Linked DNA regions of Xenopus tropicalis. The protein of the gene in region 2 interacts with the protein of the main gene of each other region in a pairwise test. Links are inferred from orthologs where the notes say so. Each region holds a gene or a part of one and is shown on either strand. Other genes may lie near its edges.

Evidence for each region.
Region 1: the proteins of bag6 (region 2) and rnf126 interact in binary tests that used the Homo sapiens proteins (3 or more experiments, as listed by UniProt). The link is inferred for Xenopus tropicalis from reciprocal best matches to the Homo sapiens genes BAG6 and RNF126.
Region 3: the proteins of bag6 (region 2) and atxn2 interact in binary tests that used the Homo sapiens proteins (3 or more experiments, as listed by UniProt). The link is inferred for Xenopus tropicalis from reciprocal best matches to the Homo sapiens genes BAG6 and ATXN2.

What each region holds. Positions count from the first base shown.
Region 1 is NC_030677.2:105,798,658-105,809,407, forward strand, and holds part of rnf126 (E3 ubiquitin-protein ligase RNF126), read right to left. Parts: intron 10,214-10,750; coding exon 10,145-10,213; intron 6,738-10,144; coding exon 6,668-6,737; intron 6,338-6,667; coding exon 6,244-6,337; intron 5,697-6,243; coding exon 5,581-5,696; intron 1-5,580. UniProt on the Homo sapiens protein: E3 ubiquitin-protein ligase that mediates ubiquitination oF target proteins. Depending on the associated E2 ligase, mediates 'Lys-27'-, 'Lys-29'-, 'Lys-48'- and/or 'Lys-63'-linked polyubiquitination of substrates.
Region 2 is NC_030684.2:74,264,824-74,275,573, forward strand, and holds part of bag6 (large proline-rich protein bag6), read left to right. Parts: intron 1-1,730; coding exon 1,731-1,805; intron 1,806-1,879; coding exon 1,880-2,010; intron 2,011-2,092; coding exon 2,093-2,219; intron 2,220-3,567; coding exon 3,568-3,765; intron 3,766-3,957; coding exon 3,958-4,216; intron 4,217-5,046; coding exon 5,047-5,097; intron 5,098-5,523; coding exon 5,524-5,619; intron 5,620-5,789; coding exon 5,790-5,929; intron 5,930-7,935; coding exon 7,936-8,017; intron 8,018-8,494; coding exon 8,495-8,802; intron 8,803-9,374; coding exon 9,375-9,660; intron 9,661-9,834; coding exon 9,835-10,004; intron 10,005-10,206; coding exon 10,207-10,260; intron 10,261-10,345; coding exon 10,346-10,448; intron 10,449-10,750. UniProt on the Homo sapiens protein: ATP-independent molecular chaperone preventing the aggregation of misfolded and hydrophobic patches-containing proteins.
Region 3 is NC_030677.2:163,117,424-163,128,173, reverse strand, and holds part of atxn2 (ataxin-2), read right to left. Parts: intron 6,942-10,750; coding exon 6,757-6,941; intron 6,267-6,756; coding exon 6,057-6,266; intron 3,300-6,056; coding exon 3,117-3,299; intron 800-3,116; coding exon 611-799; intron 1-610. UniProt on the Homo sapiens protein: Involved in EGFR trafficking, acting as negative regulator of endocytic EGFR internalization at the plasma membrane.

The DNA.
Region 1 (10,750 bases), on a different chromosome or scaffold from region 2:
TGCTACCTTGGTATTATAGTTACAGTCAATGTATGTAAATGAGAATTTAAAGCCCATCTGAGCAAAGTTCAAATCTGTAATTCTCCACTGGAATTAACTACCGCTTACGCATTGGGAAGAATGAATCTCTTTAAAATGTTATATTTGCCTAAATTTCTATATCCACTGTGGAACTCTCCAGTATATACAGTGGAGGAAATAATTATTTGACCCCTCACTGATTTTGTAAGTTTGTCCAATGACAAAGAAATGAAGTCTCAGAACAGTATCATTTCAATGGTAGGTTTATTTTAACAGTGGCAGATAGCACATCAAAAGGAAGATCGAAAAAATAACTTTAAATAAAAGATAGCAACTGATTTGCATTTCATTCAGTGAAATAAGTTTTTGAACCCTCTAACAAAAAAAGACTTAATACTTAGTGGAAAAAACCTTGTTTGCAAGCACAGAGGTCAAACGTTTCTTGTAATTGATGACCAAGTTTGCGCACATTTTAGGAGGAATGTTGGTCCACTCCTCTTTGCAGATCATCTCTAAATCACTAAGGTTTCGAGGCTGTCTCTGTGCAACTCTGAGCTTGAGCTCCCTCCATAAGTTTTCTATTGGATTAAGGTCCGGAGACTGACTAGGCCACTCCATGACCTTAATGTGCTTCTTCTTGAGCCACTACTTTGTTGCCTTTGCTGTATGTTTTGGGTCATTGTTGTGCTGGAACACCCATCCACGACCCATTTTCAGTTTCCTGGCAGAGGGAAGGAGGTTGTCGTTCAGGATTTCATGATACATGGCTCCGTCCATTTTCCCGTTAATGCGAATAAGTTGTCCTGTGCCCTTAGCAGAAAAACACCCCCAAAGCAAAATGTTTCCACCCCCATGCTTGACGGTGGGGACGGTGTTTTGGGGGTCATAGGCAGCATTTTTCTTCCTCCAAACACAGCGAGTTGAGTTAATGCCAAAGAGCTCTATTTTGGTCTCATCAGACCACAGCACCTTCTCCCAGTCACTCACAGAATCATTCAGGTGTTCATTGGCAAACTTCAGACGGGCCTGCACATGTGCCTTCTTGAGCAGGGGGACCTTGCAAGCCCTGCAGGATTTTAATCCATTGCGGTGTAATGTGTTTCCAATGGTTTTCTTGGTGACTGTGGTCCCTGCTAATTTGAGGTCATTAACTAACTCCTCCCGTGTAGTTCTAGGATGCTTTTTCACCTTTCTCAGAATCATTGACACCCCACGAGGTGAGATCTTGCGTGGAGCCCCAGGTCGATTGATGGTCATTTTGTGCTCCTTTCATTTTCGAACAATCGCACCAACAGTTGTCACCTTCTCTCCCAGCTTCTTGCTAATGGTTTTGGACAGCTCTTTGGTCTTTCCCATGTTGGAGAGTTTGGAGTCTGCTTGATTGATTGATTCTGTGGACAGGTGTCTTTTATACAGGTGACTAGTTAAGACAGGTGTCCTTAATGAGGTCGACTAATTGAGTAGAAGTGTCTAACCACTCTGTGGGAGCCAGAACTCTTAATGGTTGGTAGGGGTTCAAAAACTTATTTCACTCAATGAAAGCAAATCAGTTGCTATCTTTTATTTAAAGTTATTTTTTCGATTTTCCTTTTGATGTGCTATCTGCCACTGTTAAAATAAACCTACCATTGAAATGATACTGTTCTGAGACTTTATTTCTTTGTCATTGGACAAACTTACAAAATCAGTGAGGGGTCAAATAATTATTTCCTCCACTGTAACTAATTAGTTCTTTAAAAAACTAATGAACTAATCCCATTTGGGCCAACAAAGCCCCAAGAATATCATGGCTCATGCTTACTGCTATTTTGCATCCCAATTATCCTACATACATAACTGGTTTAACCCAGACCACAGTAACTCCCTGACCGTACTGCATGCAGCAATTGTGGGCCATACGTAACTCGCCATTTAGATGAAAGAATGATCTCCCTCCTTTGCCCAAAGTATTTACCACCCATATTAAAATCTGGGCGAAGCTACAAATCAAGGCCTGTACCCCTCGCCCCTATAGAGAGATTCCAACCTGCCACATATGAGACACTTAACTGATTTCCAATATTGGCCGCAGTTAGGAATCAGGCACCTTGATGATTTACTGACTGAGAATTGTTTTATGTCACTAGAACAACTTAAGGCCAAAATCAACCGTCCAGATTGTTGGGTTCCTGACCACTCACTCTAAGGGGTATATTTATCATACTGTGTAAAAAGTGGAGTGAAGCATTACCGGTGATATTGCCCAGGGCAACCAATCAGCAATTAGAGTTCAACAGATTTCAACCAAAGCAAAGCATCCAATTGGCTGCTATTAGCATTATCACCGGTAATGTTTTACTCCACTTTTTACACAGCATGTTAAATATACCCCTAAGTGTAGGGACCTGCGGGAGCCCTCCTGCCAGGACAAAGTTGTGCATGGGAACAAGAAGTACACAACCATGGGGGCAGTTCAAACTTGTTCAGTTTATTTTTGTGTGCACATAGCTTTTATACCCTTTGTGTACATGCAAAAGCAAAATAATAAGTTTAAACAAAGATCTTCTGTACTTCAAGGCTGGCCAGTACGGGATGTGTCAGCGATAAGATACAAAATATGCAAGCTGCTTAAGGATCATTCTTGAGGAAAAACAACCATTATAGGGTGTCAAGCCTTGCACACAACAATTACAAAAAGGAGTTATATTTTAAAATGGAGTATAACTCCTAAGATTGTGGGTATAACAGGCCTAGCCTCACACAGATATTCAATTCTTTCATTATTTCCAGCTGAGACATGTATTTCCCAATTCAGGACCTAACAACTTTCAACTACACTACTGGCATGGGAAGCTAGACTTTGGGCTCCAGACCCAACCAAACTAGTATCCCAATTGTATAGCATAATTCAGTCTTCAGACCCAGCTCAATTTGATAAGGCAAAACGTAAATGGCTGGCAATAGTTCCATTTTTAGATGAGGATCAATGGGAAGAAACTATTGATAATCTATATATTTTTTAATATCACTAAGGGATAGAATGAACCATTTTAAGATGATTCACCAAATATACATTACCCCTCTGAAACTTAAGGTTATGGGGAAAGTAGAAAGATCTAAATGTTTGAAATGTAATATAGTAGAGGTAGATTTTCTCCACCTGATCTGGGATTGTCCTAAAGCAGTGCTGTCCAACTTCTGCGGTGCAGAGGGCCGGAATTTCTCTAGCATACATGGTGGAGGGCCGCTAATGGAAGCCAGTTTTGACCACTCCCCTTTTTTAAACCACACCCACTTCAAACCACACCCGTTTTATCACAATGGTGGTAGTGCAGCAAAAACCCAAATGCTTTGTCCTCACTGCAGGGATATCAACCGTTATTCATATATAAAAGGATTATATTATGTCATGTTAAGACACACCCTTAAATCCATATGCCTCCTCCTCACCTGTGGATAGCACAGCAACCCCCAGCACATAATTACACACCTTAGGGACCATTTAATGCCTGCCCTATGCTGCCTGTGTGTGCCATACTCTGCCTGTCCTATGCTGCCTATGTGTGCCAAACTCTGCCTGCCCTATGCTGCCTGCGTGTGTCATAATCTACCTGCCCTATGCTGCCTGTGTGTGCCATACTCTGCCTGCCCTATGCTGCCTGTGTGTGCCATACTCTGCCTGCCCTATGCTGCCTGTGTGTGCCATACTCTGCTTGTACTATGCTGCCTGTGTGTGCCATACTCTGCCTGCCCTATGATGCCTGTGTGTGCCATACTCTGCCTGCCCTATGTTCCCTGTGTGTGCCATACTCTGCCTGCCCTATGCTGCCTGTGTGTGCCATACTCTGCCTGCCCTATGCTGCCTGTGTGTGCCATACTCTGCCTGCCCTATGTTCCCTGTGTGTGCGCCATACTCTGCCTGCCCTATGTTCCCTGTGTGTGCGCCATACTCTGCCTGCCCTATGCTGCCTGTGTGTGCCATACTCTGCCTGCCCTATGCTGGCTGTGTGCCATACTCTGCCTGCCCTATGCTGCCTGTGTGTGTGCCATACTCTGCCTGCCCTATGCTGCCTGTGTGTGCGCCATACTCTGCCTGCCCTATGCTGCCTGTGTGTGCCATAATCTGCCTGCCCTATGCTGCCTGTGTGTGCCATACTCTGCCTGCCCTATGCTGCCTGTGTGTGCCATACTCTGCCTGCCCTATGCTGCCTGTGTGTGCCATACTCTGCCTGCCCTATGCTGCCTGTGTGTGCCATACTCTGCCTGCCCTATGCTGCCTGTGTGTGCCATACTCTGCCTGCCCTAAGCTGCCTGTGTGTGCCATACTCTGCCTGCCCTATGCTGTCTGTGTGTGCCATACTCTGCCTGCCCTATGCTGCCTGTGTGTGCCATACTCTGCCTGCCCTATGCTGCCTGTGTGTGCCATACTCTGCCTGCCCTATGCTGCCTGTGTGTGCCATACTCTGCCTGTCCGTGCCATACTCTGCCTGTCCTTAGCTGCCTGTGTGTGCCATAATCTATTTAAACAATACAGGGGGAATACAGCCTAAATCTGAGGTGAGAACCATGCAGGGGGCCAGATAATCTCAGTACTGATACCATTTAAAGTTTACACAAAGGAAAGCCATCAAAGGAGCCAGACAGGTGGGAGGCCGCGAGCCGCCAGTTGGAAAGCACTGTCCTAAAGTATTAACATATTGGACAGAAGTCATCCACTATATAAATGAATGCCTACTTCTCCCTGGCATCAGGTCTCCTGAGGTCTGCTTGTTTGGAATTGTAGACAAATTAGTGCCTCTTCAAAAATCTAGAACATTGTTACGCTCTCTCATCTTTTATGCAAAAAAGATAGTAATAATAAAGTGGGCCCCATCCTTCCCACACTTCAACAATGGGTGGAGCTAATAAATGGTACATTGCCACTGATCAAATTGACATACAACGCCCAACCCACATAACACTTCGGGGCACATTCATGAAACCGCGAGTTCGAATCCCGAATGGGACAAATTCGGATTGGATATGATAATTTCTGAAGATCGCAAATATCACGAATATGCTTACGAAAAAATCGGGAAAAAAAAAAGCGGGAAAACCTTTCCGATTTTTTTGCACAAAAGTATGAAAAAGTCACGCAAGCGATGAAAAAGTCGCCGAAAATACGCTTAGAGGTATATTTATCATGCTGTGTAAAAAGTGGAGTGAAGCATTACCGGTGATGTTGCCCAGGGCAACCAATCAGCAAGATTTCAGCAGTTAGAAAATGAAAGCAAAGCATCTGATTGGCTGCTATCAGCAACATCACCGGTGATGTTTTACTCCACTTTTTACACAGCATGATAAATATACCCCTTTGAGCGTTCGTGAATTAGTAAATCTGCCCCTTTGTGTACTCTGACACACTGCTTCTTAATCTTAAAATGGTCAATAAGTATATGATATAAACGACTGTACTTAATTATGATGTAAGTGCCAACTTTGTTTATCTGTTCTATTTCATTTTTTTTTTTATTTGTATAATGCAAAATAAAAACCTTAAAAAAAAAAAATGTAAATGGTTAGTAATGTCACCATACTGACCTGTTCTAACCAAGGGATGATGCAGTCATTGTGAAATAAATGATTGCAAGGAAGTTGCCGCACACTTTCACCAACAGTATAATCCTCTTTACACACGGGACACTCCAGACCAGAACCTAGTAGCAGAGAATGCTAAGATTAGATTAAAATGTCAGGCAAGGAGGCAGGAGAAAATAAGTCTGGTATTCATTACAGAGAAACAACCTTCATTTACTATTTACCCTTCAAGACCTGCAGCTATACAATGACAGACTAGCTGAGAACACACTTTTCCACAGGGATACATTGAAAGCAGGGCCGGATTGGCAATCTGTCGATTCTGGCAAATGCCAAAAGGGCTTCTGTAAAATGCCATAGACAGTCACTATTTATTGGGCCTCTGGATGGCTATATGGGCCTCTATGTACTTGGAATGCCAGGGTCTATTTTGAATTCCAGTCCTGAAGGAATGGGAAATATAACGATTCCTAAGCAGAAAATGACCAGCGCTATTAGTTTAAGCTAACTAGAGCTTAGGACCTATTAGTAAAGGTACACTGTTGCTTCATTAATCTTTTATTTCAATGCTATATCATACTTTTTCTGGGATACATTTGATTCCAGTTTTGCTGGATTATTGTCATGGCTGTCCCTGTGCAGGACGGCAGTAAGTTTCCCACTTACCCACATGCTCTTCTGTTATCTGGATGGTAGGAAGGGCTTGTATTTTTTCAGTGTCCGCAGGGGGAGGGCCTGTGTTTTCAAACTGATTAAGTAACTGGAGGCAGAAAAAAACCAGAGACAAGGATTCATGTTGGTGTGACTATAAGTATAAAATAATGGATAGAGTAATGGAATGTAGGTAATTAACAGACATACACATAAAAACTGCTGCACTATAGTGACTTCATTAATGAGCAACTTTATTGAAGCATCAACAATTTGGCAGCCTTAAAAGGGTATATTTGATACCCCTGTATTATATATGTTTGCACCAGTGCCATTTATCCCAAAATATGTGTATTATGGGCTTTGCACGCATTACAAAATTTGATTTATGGATTGCATTTAATAGCTGCAGGTAAGATATGTTGAAAATGTTGCTTACTTGTGTGATTATTGTATCTAGGCCATTTGCACCCCATGCATAATCCATGGGGTTGGAATGCAGGACACCCCTGTTCAGAGGAAAAGAAGGGAAACCATTAGTTAAAGCAGTCTACACAGATTCAAAATGTTGCTCCTACTCTGCACCCCTTTTTATGTATTGAGAAAATAGGGGATAGGTAAGAAGCATTAACAGTGGTTTGTAACCTACTTGCCCAACTTATTAACTAAGAAACAAATTAGGAAGCCATATAACAAAATGAACCATCAATATATTTATATATTCTTACAGCATCTTAAAGTAGAACAGGGATAGCTGTTGATTAACATTCGCACTGTACATTATATGGGAGCTGCCATGGTTACTTATGTAAGGAAATCTTGTCCCCAGACTATAATGAAACAGACTCTCAAGAAAAAGAGCTGCTTTGGGTATTAATCCCTAACCATGTAAAAAAAAAAAATTATTTGCCTTTTGTATATAATAGGATATAGGAAGCAAAGGAAAATTCTGCATGCAAATACAATAATAAGGGTGTCTCCCATTCCAGTCCAAGTTTACACAAAAAAAAACTGGACATCTTACAAAAATCTGACCCACAAATTCATTAGTGTAATGAGCCCTTAACATGGCAGTAAGTTGTATTGATGATTTTTTTCCATGCAAAAAATAATAATTAGCTGCATATTTGCTATTTTATGTGGGACAGGGCTGCCAGTATACTTTATTTGTGCCAATTACATTTCTTCATATGGTTTCCGTAACCATGATAACTCCAACTCGTGTATGAAAACAAACAAATAGGTACATCCTTAGGAATAACCTATAATTATGTTTAATTAAATGATGCATTGAATCATATGTACAAGCTTTTATTCTGCCCCAAATGTCTTTCTAAAAGGGGTACCTTGTTTTATGTATTGTGGTAGCACCCAGGTATTGACAGGTTTTGGAAGGAACTACTAAAATTCATGGAAGAGATTTTTCCTCTATGAACCTTCTCTACTTAAAGGGATACTGTCATGATTTTTATGGCATACTTTTTATTTCTAAATTACACTGTTTACATAACAACTAATCCACTCTACCATTTAAAATGTTATTCTTGAACCAACAAATGTATTTTTTATAGTTGTAATATTGGTGTGTAGGCAGCCATCTCAGTGCCTTGTACCTGAGTCTGAGCTTTCAGAAGGAGCCAGCGCTACACATTAGAACTGCTTTCAGGTAACCTATTGTTTCTCCTATTTCCATGTAGCTGGAGGAGTCCCACGCCAAACTTGGATTTCTTACTATTGCATGCTATTCTGATATCTACTGGGAGCTGCTACCTTGCTACCTGCCCATTTTTCTGCTGATCAGCTGCTGGGAGGGGGATGATATCACTTCAACTTGCAGCTCAGCAGTAAAGTGTGACTGAAGTTTATCAGAGCACAGGTCACATTACTGTGGCACCCTGGGAAATGAAGAATATGACTAGCCCCATGTAAAATTTCAAAATAATATATAAAAAAAATGTTTTTGAAAAACAGATTTCAAGGCAGGATTGTGCTGGAGAAGCTCTACTGACTGATGTGTTTTGAAAAAACATGTTTTCCCATGGCAGTATTCCTTCAAGTTTGTATCTGCTGTTCATCACTGGTAATATATCTATGCACTCTTATACTCAATAGTTCGCTAACTATTAAAGGAGAAGGAAAAACAAAATTGCTTCAAAATTACAGACATATTCATATTAGTAACATAATGCCCCAGCTCAGCTCTGGGTTGCTTTGTTTGCCTATAAATCAGCCACAGTCCGTCCTACAACCTGGCAACCTGTTAATTTCCAGTGAAGCTTCCTTTGCTTCTTTAACAGTGAATTTCTGGGTCCAGTGCATGTGCATTTGCCTGCACTGCTGCAGAGTCTTCCTTTTTTTTTTTTTCCTTTGCATACGATAATCTTGACAGTTAGCCCCGCCCGCCTATTCACACTCTCCAATCTTATTGTAGCCCTATTTTTTCTAGGACAACAATATACACAGTCCTGCACAATGCGTCAGAAGAAAGCAACAGGAGGAAGTGACGTAGGGATGGTGCAATGAAGCAAACTGCGCTAAACTTAAAAACTGATATCACGAGTTAATAGGCAAAATTTATTTTTTTACCTGTAATATTGGTGTGTAGGCATTTTGCCCTGAGCTTTCAGAAATACCAAGCACTACACAATAGTTCTGCTTTCAGATAAGCTATTGTTTCTCCTACTACTCAATGTACTGTTGCATATTCTACCCAAGTCGCATAATAACGAAACAGGGTTTCTCTTGCTCCAGTGTCATTCTCATGTTTACCACTAGGTGGAGCAAATGATACACATTCAGCAATGCAAACTATTTATGAATTCATTTAATTTCTACAATGCTGAAATCTTTTCCAGCCTTCAGGAAACCTACTTTTAGTAAGAGAGTCTGGGGTCTCAGAAATCACTTCATGTATACGGGGCTAACATTTTTTGATTATTTTCTATCCTCCTTTCCCTCCTTCTGCCTTTCAAATGAGGGGCAGCCAACAACTGAATGTTCTATGAGGCTGCAATGTTATTGTTACTTTTAGTATTTCTCCTATTTATCTTCCAGTCTCTCATTCAAACTACTGCCTGGTTAATTGGACCCTTGACCTAGAAACTCAAGACCACTTGAAAATTGTTGAATATCACTGCCAACTATAAATCATACTAAATCTTAATTAAAGGTGATCTACCCCAAATTAGTTTTTTTGTTATCCTGCACAATTATCTTAACACAGCGAGCCAGAAATGTTCTCCTCCAGTTAAAGGCACTTTTCATTTACCATAGATTTGTTGTCCTGGCAATTTTTTTTTTTTTTTTGTACATCAAACAAAAATAAACAGGTGCAAATTATGAACTTGTGTCAAAGGTGCATTGCTACTCAACCTTATGTAGGGTCATTTCTAGCTCCCAACCTTATGTAGAGTCATTTGTAACCTCAGAATCAGGGCCAGATTCACAATGCGGCCGCCCCTCGGCTCCCGTCTCCTCACTCGCCTCTGCCACCCTAGGCCTGGGCCTTGCCACAAATCTGGGCCTGCTCAGAATAACACACTTCTAGCAAATATACTAATGTAAATTAAGTGGGTTCATGTTCCCTTTAATTCTGAAGGCAGTGAGAAAGTTTTAAATAAACTGTAAAAGACACAGAGTGCTTTAATGTGGCAACTAATAGACTGCTTACTAACATAAGTTGAGTTTGTACATGTTTTAAGATGCTTTGGAACAGTATCAGGATAGGAAAGAGTAGTTGTCAATAGTTTTTAGAAGATCTTTTTACATGTACTGAAAAACCAGTAAGTTACAGAAACAAAATTTGCATACATCTCATTCTTATTGGACATTCCTGACAATAATTCAGCCCAAATGTAGCTAGTGGAATGAATGCAGTCCCCTATTGTCCATATTTGTAGTACAGACACAGACTCACCATGGTCCCACCCCTAGGTTTGACATTGCTGTAGGTGCGATAATCCCATTCACCAACTGCTGAATGATCCTGTAAAAATAAAGTGATACATCTAGTGTATGGCTATAAAATATAAGATGTCAGGATGTCAGATAGGGAGCAATTGCTGAAAAGTGGTTTCACCACATTGTTGCATTCATATTGGAATACAGCAACACCAAAGTAGGTAGTAAGTGTGTAAGCAATATAATACTCTGTTTCTGCTTTATAATAATTTTAAATGCATGTATTAAATCAAAAGAATAGGCAGCATGTATTTTTATTTAAGTTTATTGCTTTTTATTTTGCTTAAAGTTGAAAATAGGTGTATACTGCCCTTTTTAGTCAGTGTCACTAAACTTTTTCTCTTTCAGAAGAATGTTGCTTTATTTAGGTCTGCATAAGAAGATATATGCCAGATACAGGGCTGCAGTATTTTATGAAAAAAAAACTCAGATATCACGTATTGGTTTTTAAAATCACCCTCATGGCATACCCATGATAGATAACATACATGACCTGAATTTTAATTTGGAATAAAAGAATCCCCCCATCTCTGGTCCATGTCTGTGCTAGAACCGAGAAGAC
Region 2 (10,750 bases):
AATGGAATTTTTCTAAGCCTTATACCTGGGCAGATAAGCTCCAGAATCGGACTAAAGGACTCGAAACGGCAGCTTAAATCTGCCTGTGTATGGCCACCTTTATACACACAACCACAAAGCAGGTTGACTGTATTGTTCTTATATGTTTTATTGCTTATCTTTAAGTTCAGGCTCTCTGCTATTTATCTATCTTGTTGACTTTTAGGGCTCTGGCACACGGGGAGATTAGTCGCCCGCGACAAATCTCCCTGTTCGCGGGCGACTAATCTCCCCGAGTCGCCATCCCACCGGCGAAAATGTAAGTCGCCTGCACAGCGTGTGCTATCCCACTGGCGACTTACATTTTCACCGGTGGGATGGCAATTCGGGGAGATTAGTCGCGGGCGACTAATCTCCCTGTCTGCCAGAGCCCTTAATGTATGGCCTGGTCTAAGATAATTAAGTCATAGCAACCAGATAGCAGTTACAATTTCACACCTGAGAGCTATGTAAATAATTAATAAACCACAAAATATAACAAAGATCCATTAAAATTGCCTTAGGATACCACTGTTTGTGTTGAAAATCACCTTTTAACTGACTCAGAGCCCATCTTGCCCCACGCTCCCAGGTATACCCTGCACAAGTAGGACAGAAAAGATTCATGAGTTCATGTGGGGTGTCAAACAAATTAGCCCATCAAAGAGATTTTTAACATTTCCATGTCTTTTTACGCTGGCCTTACAAGGTCACCAAACTAGTGGCTCAGGGGCCAACAATTGGATTACACTGTGGGCCTATAATTAAGGATCTCCTTAAACTCTCAGATTTTCAAACATGCCCAATACATATCTACTGGATTTATGATCAGATATGGTTCTTACAGGCTCTGCTGAGGGCCCACACAAGGCCAGTAAACTGCCAACTTGACTGCATTTTATCAGCCTATGTTTGGTTTTAACAGGACTGAGTGAAAATGCCTGAAACATCTGAGCAGATCCAGTACAAGTCGGTATTAAAGAGTCAACTCTGATTTATTGCAAATTATCTTAAGCAGAACATTGTTTTATCAGTTTAGGGTGCACATGTGTTATTGAGGAACCCATAAGTAATAAATATGAAATTAACACAGAGGCTCAACCAAAAATATGTTCTTATTGAAATCTGTGGACTCATGCATTTCTGGGCAAGTGTTAGTTGCTTGCATGATATCTACATGGCTTTAAATGGTAGTGGTTAACCACTGTATATTTGACCTATTTAAAAACACAATATACATAGTGCCTGGTATTTAGTTTAGTGGGTTTGTTCTGTTATAATTGTGAAACAACAAGAAGGGACATTTAAGATGCAAATCCAAACTGAAGACCAAGCAGTTGCTGAGGCAGTCTAATGCATCCTGATGCTTTCTCTCGCTTCTCCTTGCTTTCCTCCATCTTGCTTTGTTATCCATCTGTGTTTTTGTCCACACTTTCTACTTCTCCTTCCAATCCCACAACTATGATTTTTGACACATCTATGTAACTCTCTTCACTCTTCTGTAATGATGTCTTTCTTCTCTTTTTATGCCTTCCATTACCTGGCTACCAAATTCTTCACAACCTTACATAATATTATAATTCTTTATAATCCCAATCCCTGCGTTGATGTATATCTTTCTTTACCCACATAAATTCTATTTCATTCTCCTCTTCTTTCTTTCCATATCCATTCTACTTTTCCCTTTTTCTCCTGTTTGTCTCCCTTTGCAGAGTGAACCTCGTGTTCGTCTTGTTTTGGCTCAGCAAATACTGCAGGACATACAGAGGATACTGGATCGTTTGGAGGTAAGAAAAACCTTTTGTAGCTTTATGCAAGTGTATGTGGACTGCTGGTTCTATAACCTTTTTGTGTATTTCAGGGACAACCAGTTAATGAGCAGACTGCAGAACCGATGGACACAGCAGTGTCTGAAGGAGAGGCCAGCAGTAGAGAAACCTTGCCTCAGACTACACAGAATACAGATGGGCAGTCGAATACAGCCCCTACCAGGTGAAACTGTAATTCCACCCCCCCCACCCCTTTTTTATCTCCTTTTCTAAAACAACAGCTTATAATAATTCTTTTGCTTTAGTCATCCTTCACCATCAGAATATGTTGAGGTCCTGCAGTCTTTGTCACGGGTTGAGGAACGTCTAGCCCCTTTCATGCAACGTTACCGGGAAATCCTTAGTAGTGCTACCTCTGATGCCTATGAGAATGTAAGTTGCCTGATGTGTAAAAGATTCACGTGTTAAACATTTCATACTTACAGAATGTCTATTAATTGATTGTTTAAAAAGCAACTTATTAAGATTAATTTGATGATTTATGTAGATAATAAGGAACATTATTCATGGCTGTTTGAGTTGATGCTTGTGAGAAAAAGGCACAGATAAGTAAAGAGATATTTGCATTTTTTAAGGGTCAGTAGCTGGACTATATTTGGCAAATCACATATTTGTATGCATTGGTATAGGCTTTTATAGGTGAAATTTGTGAATAGGTTCTGGTTTTGTGATAGTATGATGGGCTGTTCTGGATATGGAGGAATAACATGGTCTGTGAACTATAAGAGGATACTATGAATGTGTGAGAATGCAGATAGGTGTATTGGGTTTTTGGTTAAAAATTCAGTTGTACTGAAACAATATATTTGCTGAATTGTAGCCAGCACTGACTATATGAAATGGTAGAGAGAGTACTGCCTAAACATCTGTGCATGTAATGGCACCTTGAGGGACCTATGATATTCTTGCATCACAGTCGTATGATTCTCTTGCATTGCAGGTCTGTTAAGTTTAATCTGTCAATGCCTTATGTTATTGTGTGGATGGTTCATGGGTAGATGAGGGCCTAGCCTCTTTTTATTCCTCTCAGATATACTTGTTTGATTTGTCAGCCCAAGCGAATGGAACAATGCCATTTGACTGCCCTTAAGGATAAACAGTTCACACAATATTTGACCCATTTGCCCACTGGATTTGATATATGGATGGACAATCCTAAAATCATCCTGTGTTTTGCCTTATAATTGACACAAGTTAATCTTTGGCAATTTTAAAACAAATATAAACTATGCTGAATAAGCATGTGCACACTTGCTCAAAATCATTATCTCTGCTCTACCCCATGTTTAGAATAGACACAAAACATATATATGTGTGGTTTTATATACATAGATATTTTCCAAGCTATTGTAGTAGCGATAGTACAGATAGCAAAACAATAAGGTTTAGTCTGAGCTAAATCTTTACAATTATGTTAGTCCTTTTTTATTCTGTGAATTCATTGACTTCAGGCATCTCGAACAAAGTGTTACCAGGAGCTTGGCATAGAGTCAGCAAGAGATTAGGCTTTATTACTGCCAAATATTTATACAGCACAAGCATATTCCAGAAGGCTGTACAGTCTTTGATGCTAAGGCCAGGTGATACATGGCTAGGCTAGATCTTTTGTGTCACATTCTCTGTCTGCTGGATTGAATCCATTAATTTAAAATGTAAAAGATTTTATGAATTGTACCATTATTCTATTTCTAAATATTGCTTCCCTTGCTTTAAACCCTAGCAGGAAGAAAGGGAGCAGTCCCAGCGGATAATTAATTTAGTTGGAGAATCTCTTCGTCTCCTGGGAAATGCCCTGGTTGCTGTATCCGACTTGCGCTGCAATCTCTCTTCTGCTTCTCCTAGACACTTGCATGTTGTTCGCCCTATGTCCCATTACACTGGGCCCATGCTACTACAGCAAGCTGCTATACCAATACAGGTACTGTGCTTCAAAAGAACACTTTGTTAAAGTTATTATTAGTATACGTTTCCTATACTTTGCCCCATTTTCTTTTACAGTTTCATTGGCTTTTATTCCTGTCTTTTGCCACTGTTCTGTGTTATCCCTCCTTTCCTTGTTTCGCAGCTTTGCCCTTCCTGCCTTTGTTTCACACTATAATATGTGTCTTAGATTAATGTTGGTACTACAGTCACTATGACTGGGAATGGAACCCATGCTGGTCAGATGCCTTCAGATGGGAATGCTGCTCATACTCCTACCAATACTTCAGAACCTCAGCGATCTAACTCTGACAACCAACCTCCATCCAGTGGAGAGAGACCAGCTTCTGAGATCCCTCCCACTTCAGTTCCACATCCCCACCCTCGTGTTGTACGGATTACGCACCAGACTGTTGAGCCTGTCATGATGATGCATATGAACATTCAGGGTAGGTGTTCTGTAATTTATATATAACTGTCATTGAAGTAGAACTAAAGCTTAATTAGGGTTCTGTACCAGCCCAAGGCAACCACAGTCTTTTAGCAGGGACAATCTGTGCCTCCAAAGATGCCCCAGTAGCTCCCCATCTTCACTTCTGCCGATTCACTGCACATGCTCTGTGCTGCTGTCACTTACTGAGTTTAGGGGCCGATACACAATATACTGTATATATAGAATATAAATGTCACAAAATAAGGCTAATTAGTAAATAATACAATGTATTAGTACACAGCAGCTCTGAAATCCATGCAATTAGCATCAGAATGTTGTAATCAGCCTGTTGTAACAGCTTTAATCACAGGCAAACCTAATTTTCTGTTTGATAATTTGCAATGACCCCTAAGCTTAGCTTCTCAACAGCTGCTCAGAGCACACTTAGCATGTGCAGTGTCACTCCACAAAATCCAAGATGTGGAGCAACTGTGACAACTGTGAAGGCCTAGATCATTGCAGCTATGGAGATGCTGAAACTTAAGGCTTGTGCAGTATGTCCACAATAGAAAATATGGCATTTCTATCCATATTTAATTTTTTTAAAAAAATTTTGTTCCCCTTTAATATCACTCATGCTCTTCCATATATAGTCTTTGTGACCTAAATCAGTGCCCCTAATATTGCAAATTTTGATTTCCTTTTATTAACTGCTTCATCCTCCTTTGTTTGTGTCATGCTCCAATATCTTTGTTGCTGTGGAACTCACTGTTTATTCCACGTTTGCACATGTTGTTCATGAAATACATTTTTGAAGCAATAATAACATATCAATTCTCTTCTAAGATTCTGGACCTGGTGGCCCTACAAACATTCCCCCACCAACTGCGGGGCATGGTAAGTCACAAGATAATATATAATAACATTATACAGCACCTGATCTGGGAACTAGCATATATATTGTAGTGTGACCCACTGTGACCTACAGCACCTGTATTTGCCTATTTATGTCTGTAAGTTACTGTAAGCTCTACGGGGACCTCCATCCTCTTGTCTCTTTGACTCTTAACTTATTGCAACTGTACATTGTATTTATTGTTATACTTTGTATTTATCTATTATTATTTTAATAACCCCCTGTTTGTATTAATCTATTCTACTGTACAGTGCTGCCTACATAAGTAGTTTTTAGAAATAAAGATATACATACATACATACATTATATATTAAAATCCTGTAACAACTGTTATATTGAAATGCATTTATGTTGTGGAATTTTGTAATAGATCACTAATAGGATATAATTTGCCATCTATTGTGTAGGGGGAAGTGCACACATTCATATGCCAGGATTACCCCCTGAGTTCATGCAGGCAATTTCTCACCAGATTACACAGCAAGCTGTGGCTGCAGCTTCAGGTAAGTGCATTATGCTATTTGGTATCCCTATATACCACTGATGGAATTAAAGCAGGGATAATAGAGTTCACTACTGTACCATATCCCACAAGGAATAAAAGAAATAACAGATTCCTGTAAATATAGATAGAGACCTCAGAAGCTTTACAATCTTCATGTATTTTTTATAGGGCAGCAAATTCCTGGCTTCCAAGCTCCACCACGCTTTGTTTTTACTAGGCCTGCTGCCCCTTCATTTCCACCCCAGCCTGGGGTAGCAACTACCCCACCAGGACCTGGAGGGGCAACTACTGCTGTACCTGGGGAAACGGTAAGAAAGTTTCTGTTTTATATTTGAGATTACACCTCTACATAATATTCATTTTTATGTCTTGGCAAGCTTTCTCCTCATTTTTCATAGTGTTTCTATGATCTATTAACTAACTTTTCAGCTGCCTAACAATCAGTTTTTTTCTAATAGGTGACAGTCTTATTCCTATTCTCAGAATACATTTAGTGTCATAGTGACATTAGGGGCTGATTTACTAAAATTCATTTTTTCTGGCCTTCAAGGTCATAGTATAAATTTGAATTAAAGGAGAAGGAAAGGCTAATAAAGAGTTAATCTCAAGCTGCAGGCATACCTTCAGCTCTCTCAGTAGTGCCCTTAAGTCTCGCCAAACTTCACCTGTTCAGAAGATCTGAAGCCAAACAGGAAAAAAAAACGCTGAGCTGGGTAGAGAAGATTCCCGTAATGCATCGCTCCTTCCCAGACTTGGCGACTTGTTACTGCAGGCGGCGCATACGCACACAGCAGGAGCGTCTGGTTGCCATGGTGACGCAGCGACGGTGAACTCTGTGACATGCAGGTGGGGGGAGCGGGGAGGCAGGTGCAGGGAGCGGCGGAGGGTTTGTGGCAGGAGCGGGGAGCGGCGGGGAAGGGGGGTGGGTGAGTATATCTCTTCCTTATATGGCAGATGCGAGTAGCTGCCGAGCCACTGGGCGGCAGGGGTGTGTGTGTGCTGCCGGCAGAGGATGATCTGTGACATGCTGTGAGGAAGGGGGGGGGGGACACTCTGTGACATGCTGGACAAGATGGCGGCGCCGTTCACTGAAACAAGTATGTAAGTTCTAGTAAGTGTATCTCTGTAAATCTTTCATTAGGCAAGCCAGAAATATAGTGTTTTTACACAGCAATAGTAGTACTATTTAATAGGGTGCTTAATAGATTTTGACTTTCCTTCTCCTTTAAACTCAATCACTGTACGAAAATTTTGAATTTACTTTTTGGAGCCAAAAGTATTGTTAAAACTTGAAAAATGTAAAAGTTTAAATGGACGTTTGTTTTTTCCAAACAAGAATTGCTCCAGCAGACATTTTAGGAGTATTCTTGGAAAACAATGTGTTTGTTTCACTTGAAACTGGGTGAAATAGATATCATTGATAGGATTAATTTCCCCTTGAAAATGTGTAAAATAGAAAAACAATGATGGTATTGATTTCCCCTTGAAACTATGTGAAGTAGAAAACAGTGAGTTGATTAACTTCCCTTGAAAATGTGTGAAATGGAAAACAGTAATGGGACTAACTTCCCCTTGAAAGTGTGTGAAATAGAAAACAAGGATGGGATTAATGTCCCCTTGAAATTGGGTGAAATTGAAAACAATCATAGGATTAATTTCCCCTTGAATCTGGGTGAGATAGAAAACAACGAGGTGCTTAACTTCCTGTTAAAAATGTGTGAAGGACAGGCCGTCACTTACTATTCTATTCCTCTACTATTCTAAGCCTTCATAGGACTCAATTGTACTTAACAGATCAAACCTGACGATTTTTTTTTTTGACAAAAAAAAGGTTAAATAAATGTTAATGAATAATAGATTATGGGAGTTATTTTCTGAAAATTTTGAGAAACAATATCGGAAAAATCGGGTACCAGCGAAAACCCATTAGAAAATGTTAAAAATATCTAGAAGTAAAAAAAAATATCAACCTTTTCTGAAAATTGCTTTGTAAATGTGCCCCGCAGTGTCATCCTTAACATGTAAAACTATTTTCTTTGCTCATCCAGCTTTCGCCTCTTGTCTAAACAAAGTCCAACCTATTCTATAGTGATTAATAGAGTATAGGGCTATTATCACACACAGAGAACATTTAAACTATAATTAACACACATGGTGCACCCTAATTTCCTGATGTTACTGGTCATTTGAGATCATTTCTGGTTGGCTGCAACCCATCACCCACTTTACCCTGTATTTATTGGCACTCTCTTTTCTTAAGATTTTAATTTGACATTGTAACCTGTAGCTTTCTTTCTCCTACATCTGTCTCCAGGTGGGTCCAGCAGGAAATGCCTCCTTGGCTCAGATGATCAGCGGTCTTGTTGGACAGCTTCTGATGCACCCAGTTATTGTTGGTGAGAAGGCCAATGTTATGTCTTGTTTCCTGACCTAATTTCTATCTGCCTGCTTCTCCTTTCTTGTTTTTTTTCTCTCTTTTAACATAAGGTTTTGTAAAAGACATTGTGTATTTGCAGATATTGCAATAATACTGAAATAGAACTAATTTGGACACTTTTGGTTGGGAGATTCTCATTCCCTATTTTTAAAAGATATTAGTTTATGTATAAGCCTGTACAGGTAATTAATACTGGGTAGGCCGGGTTTAAGTAACTGAACACTAAATTAATAATTGTCTATGCTGATTCTATAACAAGCTGTCTATGTGTAAGTGGTTATTTTACTGCATTGGTCATTTTTATAGTCAGGACAAGCTGAGGTTAGAGAATCAAGACTGAAGTAAATGCTGAGTGCCTTTCATTTGTTTACTAATGATTGTTTTTTGTTTATTTTTCTCTCTTGCTGATTTGTCAGTTATTCTTCTCTTTTCACAGCTCAGGGTGGCAGCAACACCCCCTCTTCTACGTCAACCCCAACTTCTACATCCTCCTCCAGCTCCTCTTCATCCTCCACTGTCACTACCTCTACAACAACCACCTCTTCCACATCCTTCCCCACTGTTTCATCAGGTCCCTCTCCCCAGCCCCCACCTGGCACTGATCAACACCTCTCTCAGCTCCTGGGCTCTTTACTGGGAACTGCCGGCTCAGGGATGTCAAACTTCGCTATGGGTTCGCCGAGTATTACTGTTACCGTGCCTGGAATGCCGGCCTTTTTACAGGGTGTCACAGATATATTACAGGTACCTATTGTGGTGTTCAGTGTGCATGTGCAATGCAGTTGCATACGTATGCTTTTCCAGTCCTTAAAGGAACAGTAACACAAAAATATTTAAATACGTTATAAGTCACAAAACATCTCTAACATTTTTGTATATTTAGTAAATAATGGTCATACAGCCAGCTTTGTTAATTACATTGTAGATACAAATTACGCATTTCTCTGTGGGGAAGCTGGTGTCAGTGGTTTGTAGGCTAGTTTTTAAAATGTTTTGGAAATGCCTTGGTGGTAAATAAAATGGAACTTGTATTTAGAATTAGAAAGAGGTAGCTAACCTCACCAGTGAGTTGTGATGCTTGTGTTTGCCTTCCTGTAAAGCAAGACTATAATAATGTTTGTCCTCAACTGTCTGTTTTTTCTGCTGTCTTTGTTTTTGGTGTTTTGTTAAAAAAGCAAAAAAATAAGACTTTGGAATACAGAGATGTGTAGATACCACAAGGCAGTAAAATAGGAATAGGTTATACAAGGGAAAATACAATGAGTTTCTATCAGTAAACACAATCTAACTTTATCCTTCTCTTTTTGATTTCTTAGGCTACACAGACTGTTCCTGTTTCTACTTCTCCTCCCCAGTCTGCTTCTCAGGCTCCTCCTCCTTCATCACCCTCACCACCTCCTGCCCATTCCTCTCCCCCTCCAGCTGCCGCACCAGAGTCTCTTCCTCCAGAGTTTTTCACTAGTGTTGTTCAGGGTGTCCTTTCATCCATGCTGGGGTCTTTGAGTGCAGCTGATCAGAGTGGAACAGAAAGCATTGCAGCTTTCATTCAGAGGCTCAGTGGCTCCCACAACATTTTCCAGCCTGATGCAGAGGGACCTGGTGGTAGGAAACTTCCCTATGGCATTTTCCTTTTGCCCCTTTCTCGTTTTGTATATGTCTTTTTTTCTTTCTCTACACCCCTTCAATTGTTTCTTCCATTTACTCCAGCTTTTTTCTTTTTAGAATTCTTTCTCTAAAATTTGGCCTTTAACTTGTTTCCTGCCTCATTTGTTCCAGGATTTTTTGGTGACTTACTCACCTTGATTTGTCACAATTTCTCCCTGGTCGATATGGTAATGTTACTGCATGGTCATTCCCAGCCTTTGCAGAATCTGCAGCCTCAACTGAGATCCTTCTTTCTTCAGGAGTATCTACACCAGGCAGATCCCACACCTAATAACATCCAGGTATGTCACTATGTGTTCCTTTCTGCAGCTATAATGTGGGTGTGTATCTCACTTGGGGAGTAAAATGCTGATCCTTTATTCCTTTGAGTATGATCTCTGCACAGAAGTTAGATTCTTTCTTAGCACCCAGTGATAATGCTAACTTTTAATATATATTATCTTATATCCCATAAGCAAGACATCTTTTTTCTGCCTCTTTCAGATGGCATCAAGAAATCTTACTAATGGCCTGGAAGAGTACATAAGAGAAAGCTTTGTAAGAATTTTTTTGTCCTTTATATTTTACACTGACTGTTTTAGTGGTTATATCGCTAATCTTGTCCCCGTGTCATGTCTACCAGGCCTCCGTTACTGTGCGTGATGATGTTGATATCACAAGAACAAACCTTGAATTTCTACAGGATCAGTTCAACAGGATCACAACACACATCCTACATTGTGCAGGTATCTATGTGGAAAAGGATCCACATTTAAAGTCTTGCTCTAAACCTTTATTTGGTTACTTGGGAACTGTCTATCTCCCTTCATATAAAACAGATGATGCACTCAGCAACTATAAACAATGGTATCGTGAGGCCTCAACCAGAGCCCATATGCCAGCAAATTTGTTGTCCCTCATATATAGTAACTTACTAAGGTCCACTGAAATAAAGTTTTTTGTTTTTTTTTTTATATTCTTTTTTTTCATTTTTCAAATATTTACAAAGAAAAAGGATAACATACAAAGTGGGAAAAGAGGGGGTAGG
Region 3 (10,750 bases), on a different chromosome or scaffold from region 2:
ATCAAACCTGCCCAGTCGACACCTGGCCAATTTTCAGCCAGATATCAGTTAGGTAGGGCTATCGGGGGTCCCCATACATGGGCAGATAAACTGGCGAAACGATCTAAAGGTCTAGAATTAGCAGCTTAAATCTGCCTGTATATGGCCACCTTTAGTCCACACCTATTGTTACAATGAGGTTATAGTTACCATGTGGGAGGTGATATGAAGGTTATGATCAGATTGCAAGTGAAACAAACATTTCTTTGGCCAACTGCCTCCCTTCATATAAAGCCAGATGATTAAGTCAAGATTGCTGCAAGAAAAGCCTGTTACTTGTGGCAATCTAAGGTTAAGATTTGTCGCCCAAGGTTAAATCTGCACTACTGCAGGCAACAAATCTCTACCATATGCCATCACCCTTAGGGGCATATTTATCAAATGGCGAACTCTAACATTCACAAATTTATTTTGCCCGTGCGTGGCCCACAGTAGTCTTTAAGCTAACAGACCCATCATCATTTCAGTCTTCTACTGACCCTAAAAGATTTTACAGAATTGGTTCAAGAAAAGTTTTTAAACAAGAAAGTTTAATTTCTAGAAATAAAATAGTAAAATGTCAACAATGTACCTTCACAAGAGGGAGTAACGGCTCTGTTAGATGCAGGGCTAGCAGGTGTAGGGGATGCGGCAGGCACTGGCATAGAAACCGACTCGGGAGGTACTGTACTAGGCTGGGGTGATGACACATTTGAACCTGGTGCATGACTTCCTAGCCTTGGAGACCTCGGCCGGTGTGTCTTTGGAGATAACCTTTGAACTGTAGAAAGGAAAAAAAAAAAAAAAAAAAATATATATATATATATATATATATATATATATAAAATTTACAGAATAGTCCGCACTCCCATATCACTCATATTTCACATAGTTTCTCTGGGTGCTGCAAAACGGTTGTTCCATGTATACAATATTCCAAGGATTGTGCGCACTCCAATTCCAAATGTTAAACTTTACATCAACGTTTCGGTCATGGTCTAAGACCTTGTTCACGATGTTATACCCTTAATATAAATTACATACAATAAAACTTTATATACAAGATTAATCCCACCCACTGGTCACATGTCAGCCAACCGGCCCCACCCCCCTCCCCAGACATTAACCATGTCATCAAAGGGGTGCGGGAAATCCCTATTCACACAGGTATGAGGCACAATGACTACTAAACTTCCCTGCATAATACTACCTCAAGTCACTTAAAGTCACCTAACTGGCAAAAAACAATGCAGAGAACAATACTCATTTAGCCCCCTTGGTGAGTGTATCAAGTTTTCTAATCCAAAAGGATTCACGTTGGAGTAGCAACCTGTACCAACGTACGAAAGCCCACACGGGCATGTGACAAGGTAAATTACATGGGTTGTGGTACACGTAATCCGATGCCGTATTTTAAATCTCTGTCCCGTGTGTGGGTGTGTAAAAGTCTCACCAGGTGTCATAACGGCAGGATATGCATGTCTGGCACCTAAAGCACCCTAATTTAATATCATTTAATATCATTCATTGACTTGAGGTAGTATTATGCAGGGAAGTTTAGTAGTCATTGTGCCTCATACGGATTTCCCGCACCCCTTTGATGACATGGTTAATGTCTGGGGAGGGGGGTGGGGCCGGTTGGCTGACATGTGACCAGTGGGTGGGATTAATCTTGTATATAAAGTTTTATTGTATGTAATTTATATTAAGGGTATAACATCGTGAACAAGGTCTTAGACCATGACCGAAACGTATGCGATTATCCATGAATAAAGTTTAACATTTGGAATTGGAGTGCGCACAATCCTTGGAATATTATGTATGTATGTATGTATGTATGTATGTATGTATGTATGTATGTATGTATGTATGTATGTATGTATGTATGTATGTATGTATGTATGTATGTATGTATGTATGTATGTATGTATGTATGTATGTATGTATGTATGTATGTATGTATGTATGTATGTATGTATGTATGTATGTATGTATGTATGTATATATATTTCTCATTTACACAAAAAAATATTAATATAACATAACTAAGTGACAAACATCTATAAATACTACATGCAGTGTGGGCGTAAGTATCAGTGTGCAGGAGATTTCAGATATCCACACAGGAGATTAGCCAACCAGCTAAGAAGCTAATCTTCTGTTCTGTAATATCAATAAGTTATAATATAACAAGACTAGAATGGTAAACAAGGTACACTACAGACATTTAAATCCATAGCATGAGGCAGACATCTTTATGGATACAGAACACAAGATGTTTCGATCATAAAGGGCAACTCAAAGAATGGGAAGCACAACAAGTAACTGGGCATCCAAAATGGTTCCAATTGCTGGAAATGTAAAGAGAGCCACCACTATTAGTGTCTTATGTTCCAGTGTTTTACGCATACATCAATTAAATGAACAGACCATTGTTTTCAATACAGCTTAAAAAAAAAGCTCATATTAAAGAAAGAACAAAAATAAGGCTCCAATTTCATTATTTGCAGTACTTTTGGCACTTTTTGTAAGATTCAGAATCTTAGTGTTCAGTCAAACCAATTCAAAAACCTGAAGAGTATGGCATTAAAAGCCCTGTATAATTCAATGCGACAATTTTTGGTTCACTTATGTTTTTCTCAGATTTGAATACATTAATTAAGATAAGATTCATTTCAGTATTTAGTCAAATTTAAAAAAAAATAAAAAATAAAAAAAATTATGTATTCCACAGATCTCTAAATTTGTATAGTCTTAATTGTGGGATTGAAACAGTGGTAGGCCGCAGAGGCACCTCTCTTTGGCGCAGCCATATTGGGGGAAAATATTACTGGTGTTTATAGCAGCCTTATTGTTCAAATCCTTCTTCACGATTCAACTTGTTGCTGGCAGCTATGGTATAATACTTTTTTCGATGCTGGTTTACAAAACTTAATCTTAGAGTCTCCCATCCTCCCGAAGATCACGCAGAGCTGAAGTATTTGCTGAGCAAAGATTTATATGGTAACATTAACAATCATCTTCTTATAATAAGTTTTTTTTTTGTTTTTTTAAAGATTGCCTGTAAAAGTTTACAAAAGAACAATTCTAAAACTTGCCTCCGCTTACAACAGAAGACCACGTTCCACCAGAGGAACTATTTCGAGCTACGGGTTGTGCAGACACTTCTCCAGGTTCATTGCGAGAAACAAATTCTAAGCCTCCACAGATTGTGCCCCTACCATTAGAAACTCTGTGGGTACGAGGATGCCGTTGTGCCTTAGGAGACATTCTTGGAGGTCCTAAAATACAAAATAATTAATCAGACTCTCAAAAAAAAGGTACAAAGTAGAGGTGCACCGAACCCAGTTTTTTGGGTTCAGCCGAACCCCTGAATCCAACCCAAGGGATTCAGGCGAATACCGAACCAAACCCGGAGGGGGCAAATATTTTGCTTTCGTGTTAACGCAAACATTTAAACCTTCCAAATCGGTTCACCCAGGACCGTGGATTCGGCTGAACCCTGCCAAAAAGGACCAAACCCTGGCCGAATACCGAACCAAATTCTGGTTTTGGTGCATCCCTAGTACAAAGAAAAGACCAAGTGTTTAAGCATAGAAAGTGTTGCCTTTAAACCTATACATATGAATCAAGCAATTGTAAATATCATAGCAGCAAATTAATATAGTTTTGCAGACATCAACATTATCAAAGATTTCTTTATTGCTTGCAGTTCACTAACTTCTACAGGAATGGAGGCAAACAAGATTTACATGCAAAACATTAAAAGGCTTTAAAGTACCCTGCAGAATTCCCCCTACAATTACCACTATTCTAGACCAAACGTGCCAGTCACCAGTGACATTAGCCACTGAACACTGGCTGTTACTTCACAGTGCTGCCAACTGAACCGAGTCTGCCCATGCTGGATGGACAAATCAGACTGAATAGAGGTGGGGGAGGACCTGTGCAGTCCCACTGGATGCAAACTTTATCTATAGGCCAAAGCTGTCCTCAACTAATCAGTTGCACTTGATAACATTGTTTTGGGCCCATACACAGTCCAGACAGACTACTAATATGAGAAAGGAGTGCAGTCAGCTGCTTATTTATAAGAATGTTTATACAGTGTTAGATTTTTTGTTTTGTTTAAAAAGCAAAAAAAAAAAAAAGAAGAAGTGGGGCTGGGTGTAATAATATATATGCATTAAACATACACCTTAGTCTGTCAGTCTAATTTTAAGGAACAAATCTTAAACTGAGATTGTGATCTGTGACCTGAAGTATTAAGTAACCACATTTTAACATTTTGCCTTTTACAAGAAGGACACCTTTAAAGCAACTCTGTTATCTAATAGAACTATGCACAATTTAAAAGTGCACAAACAAGTACCTACATAGCATATTATGCATTGCCCTGGCAACTATTTATAAAGGCAATTGTCAGGGAAATTAAAGGCAAAGCAATACAGCACAGCAGCTGTAGGTGGCTGGGTCAATAAATGATGCCTCCCAATCGCCTACATTATTGTTTTTGTGAATGGCCCTGGCCTCCCGAGAGCGCTTTGCATAGTTTTTGAAGGATTCGTTATGCTGTATACTCAAAGCAAGACAAAATGAATGAATAAAATATGGTTAAGCTTAATAACTTAAAGTCATATGACTTACATTAAGTTACTAAGCTTAACCATATTTTATTCATAAATTTTTATTAGGTTTTTTCAAAATGGGAGGTGAGGCTTATTGACAAGGAATGTATATATGACAATCAAAACACAGCTATAACTAAAATAGGAGCCATTTAGCCATATGCTAAAGACAAAAGGTGGGGGATGAGATTACAGCAAGCAAGTCCAAAGTCAGTAAAATTCTCTAATAACTACAGGTAGAATAAAAAAAAATTACCTACATACAGCCGTCTGTACAGACCGTCAGGTCATATTTTGGGACAGCTTTGCAATTTGGACCAGACTGTGCATGTAAGTCAGATGATGCTCGACATCAGAGCTTGGACTGGGCCACTGTAGGATATCCACTTTTCTGTGTGTAGCACCACAGAAAAATAGAGGATTTCTTACCAATTTAGGCCAATTGCATATTTGTAAGATTGTCCCCTCAAGAAAAACAAAAAAAAAAAAAAAAAAAAAAAAAAAAACACACAACTTCAAATGCCTGTAGCTGCCAACAGCCACTTCAACAAGAAATATGCTGCCTATGGCATTTTCTTGTGTATGAGCCCAAAATCATGTTCTTCCTTATAAATAAGCATGGTCTGGGACCATGCTTATTTATAAGGAAAATACAACAAATGGAAGCCTTAAACAGGAGGAAAAATTAATAAAAAAAACCAAACAACAACAAATTGCAGATAAGGTTTCTTTTAAAAAAAAAACAAAAAAAAAAAACCTCTTAAATTCCAGGTACTGCTATTTTTTTTTTTTTTTTAAAGTGATACTGACACTAAAAAACTAGACTTCAAAAAATTAATGTACATTTAAAGTTACCTATGGGTCATTTTGATCATTTTTCACCGATAGATTTGCTTTTGTAATTAATGGCTACTTGACGTTCCTAAACCTGACTGTCCCTTCTCAGCCTGTCAGTTATAGCTTCTAATGCTAACGGACTCCTGAGCATTAATATGGCAGCCCCTAATACAGAAATGTGGGAGGGAGGGGAATCTGATTAGTAATGAAAAAGCAGTAGGAAAACAATTTTACGGCAAAATTCTAATTTAAAAAAAATAAATAAAAATAAAAATTCAGTCAGTATCCCTTTAAGGTAATTGGATGAAACATGCCTTACATTTTGCATTTTAGTTTTAAAGCCATTTTTGGCTCAAAAATTAAGGGTTGTCAAAAAGAGCCACAGAAAACCAAAGGAGAAGATGAAATGGGATTATAAATGTTTTGATATTTACCCATCACAACAGCATGAATCTAGACCTATCATGCTCTCATCTTATAGATGGAAGACATGGTTTCCCTATGCTGTAGGCATGATGGAACTGACAATACAAAGGGGAAAAAAATAAAAAAAATAAAACAGAGGTGTTGTACCTTCTGAAGACATGCGTTTAGGCATAGTAGAGACAGGAGCTGGAGAACCATGAGCAGAGGGGTGAGACGGGGGCCTGGATGGCCGCGAAGGGGGCCTGGAGGGCGGCCTTGTAGGGGTGGCTGCCCGAGGTGGAAGAGAGTTGGGACCTGACTGGTAGCGAGAAGGTGGGCGGGAAGAAGGAGATGGACAAGGCGATGGCCAGGGAACACCTGACAGAACAAATGAGATGAAGGAAAAGTAATAATAAAAGAAAGTAAAAAAAAAAATAATGAGATGAAGGGGTAGGGAACAAGTCAACAGAAAAAAAGTAAAATACAACAGAGGGGAAATGGTTTCTCGCACGTCTTAAGAGAAGCAAAAGATATTTTATGCTACAAAAAGACTCATATTTCACACAGTTTATGCACCATAATTAAGATAAAATGTACATTAATTTACACAAAAGGTTACTTTAAATTGACCCTTTTTCAATTACTTTCTCCCCTTTTAGTTTAACTTTCAATGCCACTTTCTTCCTAGGGAAGACCAGCATGTGTATGTATTTCTTAAATCAAAAGGAAATAGCATATCAAATCATGTTATAGCTACCACCCTAAATAAAAACACTTACCATTCAACAGTATACTACTTAAACAGTACATTTGTAAATGTACTAAAAAATATTTTTTAAAAACCTTGATCAGCTAATGAATTACTTGCCTCCATTTATGACTCTCTGATCAGCTCCAGCATTGGGGCTGTAGTCAGAAGAATGGGATCCTGTCCTTGAAGGAATGGGCCCTGATCCAGACTGTCCAATCCTTGCAGAAGTTTGCCTCCCACTGTGAGTTGTCCATAACATGGCATCTTTATTCCTCTGCACTGGTGGAATGTACTTGTTTTCTCTACAAAACCATCATAGAAAAATATAATATATATATATAAAAATATAATATAAAATATAATATTATATATATTTATATATATATAAAAATATAATATAAAATATAATATTATATATATTTATATATAATATTATATATATTTATATATAATATTATATATATTTATATATAATATTATATATATTTATATATATATATAAAAATATAATATAAAATATAATATTATATATATTTATATATAATATTATATATATTTATATATAATATTATATATATTTATATATAATATTATATATATTTATATATAATATTATATATATTTATATATAATATTATATATATTTATATATAATATTATATATATATATATATATATATATATATATATATATATATATATATATTATATATATATATATATATATATATATATATATATATATATATATATATATATATATATATATATATATATATATATATATATATATATAATATTATATTATATATATATATATTTATATATTTATATCCGGCATGGATCGAAACGCGTAGACATTTGGGTCTAAATAAACTTTTTTGTTTTTTATTTTTTCCTGGAGTGCTTTCTGCGAGACTTTATACTATTTTATGGTTAGCACCCGGACATTGGTGTTCCTGGTTGGTGAGTGCCGATACTTTGAACTTTATATATATATATATATATATATATATATATATATATATATATATATTTATATTTATATTTATATATTTATATATTTATATATTTATATATTTATATATTTATATATTTATATATTTATATATTTATATATTTATATATTTATATATATATATATATATATATATATATATATATATAATACAGATTTCCATTAGTATTTCCTCTTAGTGACAAGCATCTAAGAGTTTCCCTTGATTGTTTCAGCTCATCTCATATATTCCATATATATTTTTGACTTTGCACATACATACAGATACACACTTGAATGCAAACGTTTGAGTCACCCTTTAAAAATTCTGTTAAATTATTTTTACATGCAAAATCTTAATGCACGGTTATGCAACTTTATTTCAGAAATTATAACATTCTAGTATATTAAGTGGAAACCATCCTTCCTTTCAAATCAAACAACGTTGGCATAATTGATCCACCCCAAATATTTAACAGGTTGTTTATTCCATCATTAATTTTGCACCAAATTCTGCTTAGTCTGGCTGTAACCTGCCAATGCAATTTAACCAAGCAATTTTTAACTACAACCACAATATGGGTGGGTGAGCTAGAGTTCTATAGGAAAGCTAGTGTAGACGGGGCAGTTGGACTAGCAAAGGGTTGTGGGGGAGGAGTGAGGGGGGCATATAGTTTATCGGATAAGGAGCCTCAGTTACAAGGATAACAGTCTAATATTTGCCTTAGCTCCAACTCTCCCTTAGCTAATGTAAACATCAGAGGGAGAAGTAGTAATCTCCGCTGCATGCTGGCTAATGCGCGAAGCTTGTCGGGTAAATTTGGGGAGCTGCAAGCTATTGCATGTATTGAAAATTATGATTTAATTGGTATCACCTGAGACCTGGTGGGATGATAAATGCGACTGGGCTGTGAATTTAAATGGTTATACACTTTTTAGGAGGGACAGAGAGATTAAAAAGGGTGGAGGGGTTTGTCAGATATAAAGCCATGTAATAAAGACATTACCAATGAAATGTTGAATCTCTTTGGGTAGAAATTTCAGTAGGGCTGAAGGTCACAAAGAAAATGATCATTGGTATATGCCATAAACCACCCCGTATAGATGAGGGGGATGAGACCCAGGCTTCACAACTGGGTCAAGTTGTTGTTATTATGGGGGACTTTAATTATCCAGACATTGACTGGAGTAATGGGGTGGCCAAGTCAGAAAAAGCTAGTAGGTTTGTAAATACGCTAAATGACAACTTTATTTCAGGCGGTTCAAGAACCTACTAGGAATGACTCTATTTTGGACCTGGTAATATCTAATAATACTGAACTCGTCTCTAACATTTGTGTGGGTGAGCATTTGGGGAACAGTGATCACAACATGGTCTTGCTTTGAGTTAATGCTGCAGAGACTATAAAGGGAGTAATTAAAACGCTCGATTTTAGACGTGCAGACTTTGCCAGTATAAGGGCATCTCTGCAATGTGTCAACTGGGAAAGGCTTTTCATAGGGTTAGATACAGAAGCAAAATGGAACATCTTTAAAACATTGCTTTGCAGGTATACACAACAGTATATTCCCCTTGTAAGCAAGAAGAGGCATTGCAAAGTAAAACCTTTATGGCTGAATAAAAGTATTCGAGGTTGGTAAGAAAAAAACGTGCTTTTAAAGCATTCAAGTTAGCTGGGACAGCAGAAACTTTCATCAGGTACAAGGAAGCAAATAAAGCATGCAAAAAAAGCTATCAGGCAAGCTAAAATAGAGATGGAAAGGGATATGAGTAAAAAGAATCCAAAATTATTTTTTAATTATGTGAATAGTAATAAAATGAAGCAAGAAGGGGTGGGAACCTTATTATCACGGAGGGGTAAGTTGGTTGATGAGAACGGGGAAAAAGCAGAAATTTTGAACTCTTATTTTTCATCTGTCTATACATCTGAGGAGCCAGCTAATGAAGGCTTCCCTTTTAATATGCCCAGTTCTAGTAATTAAGCTACTGACGCATGGGTCACTCGGGAGGAAATTCAACAGAGACTTGAACATGTAAAGGTAAACAAAGGTCCAGGACCAGATGGGATTCATCCCAGGGGTATTAAATGACCGGAGCGCTGCGATTGCCAAGCCTCTTCACTTAAAGGAACAGTAACACCAAAAAATGAAAGTGTATAAAAGTAATGACAATATAATGTACTGTTGCCCTGCATTGATACAACTGGTGTGTTTGCCTCAGAAAGATTACTATAGTTTATATAAGTAAGCTGCTGTGTAGCCATGGGGGCAGCCATTCAAAGGAGAAAAGGCACAGGTTACTTAGCAGATAACAGATAAACCCCCATTATATGGGGCTTATCTACTAGTTATCTGCTATGTAACCTGTGCCTTTTCTCCTTTTTTCCAGCTTTAATGGCTGCCCCCATGGCTACACAGTAGCTTATTTATATAGTAGCTTTTCTGTAGCAAAAACACCAGTTTTTTGCAGAGCAACAGCACATTATATTTTAATTACTTTAAAACACTTTAATTTTTTGATGTTACTGTTCCTTTAATTTTTCAGGATTCGTTGAGGTCTGGCATGGTGCGGAGAGACTGGCGAATTGCTAATGTGGTGCCGTTATTTAAAAAGGGATCCCGTTCTCAGCCTGAAAACTATAGGCCTGTTTGTCTAACATCAGTAGTAGGAAAACTTTTGGAAGGGGTAATAAGGGATAGGGTACTTGAATACATTGCAGTTCACAATACTATAAGTTTGTGCCAGCATGGTTTTATGCTTAACAGATCTTGCCAGACTAATTTAGTCGCCTTTTATGGAGGTGTGGGTTGTGTGTGCTGGGTTTACTTGGATGGGTTGAACTTGATGGACTCTGGTCTTTTTTCAACAAGTTTCAAACAAGTTAGACTAGCGATTACTTTGTCAGTTAGCGTCACTGTATCAGGGCATAGCAGCCACAAGCTGATGCCAGGTTAAAGATATTGGTCACACACACACACAGTTTGTATGGACAAATTACATGATATCAAGCAAGAGCTGCCTTCAAACTGCACTGTCCTGTTGCTCATGTACACTGGATCTTTTCACAAGTTGAGCTTGTATTCTGGCAGGACAGAGCTATACCGATAACATTT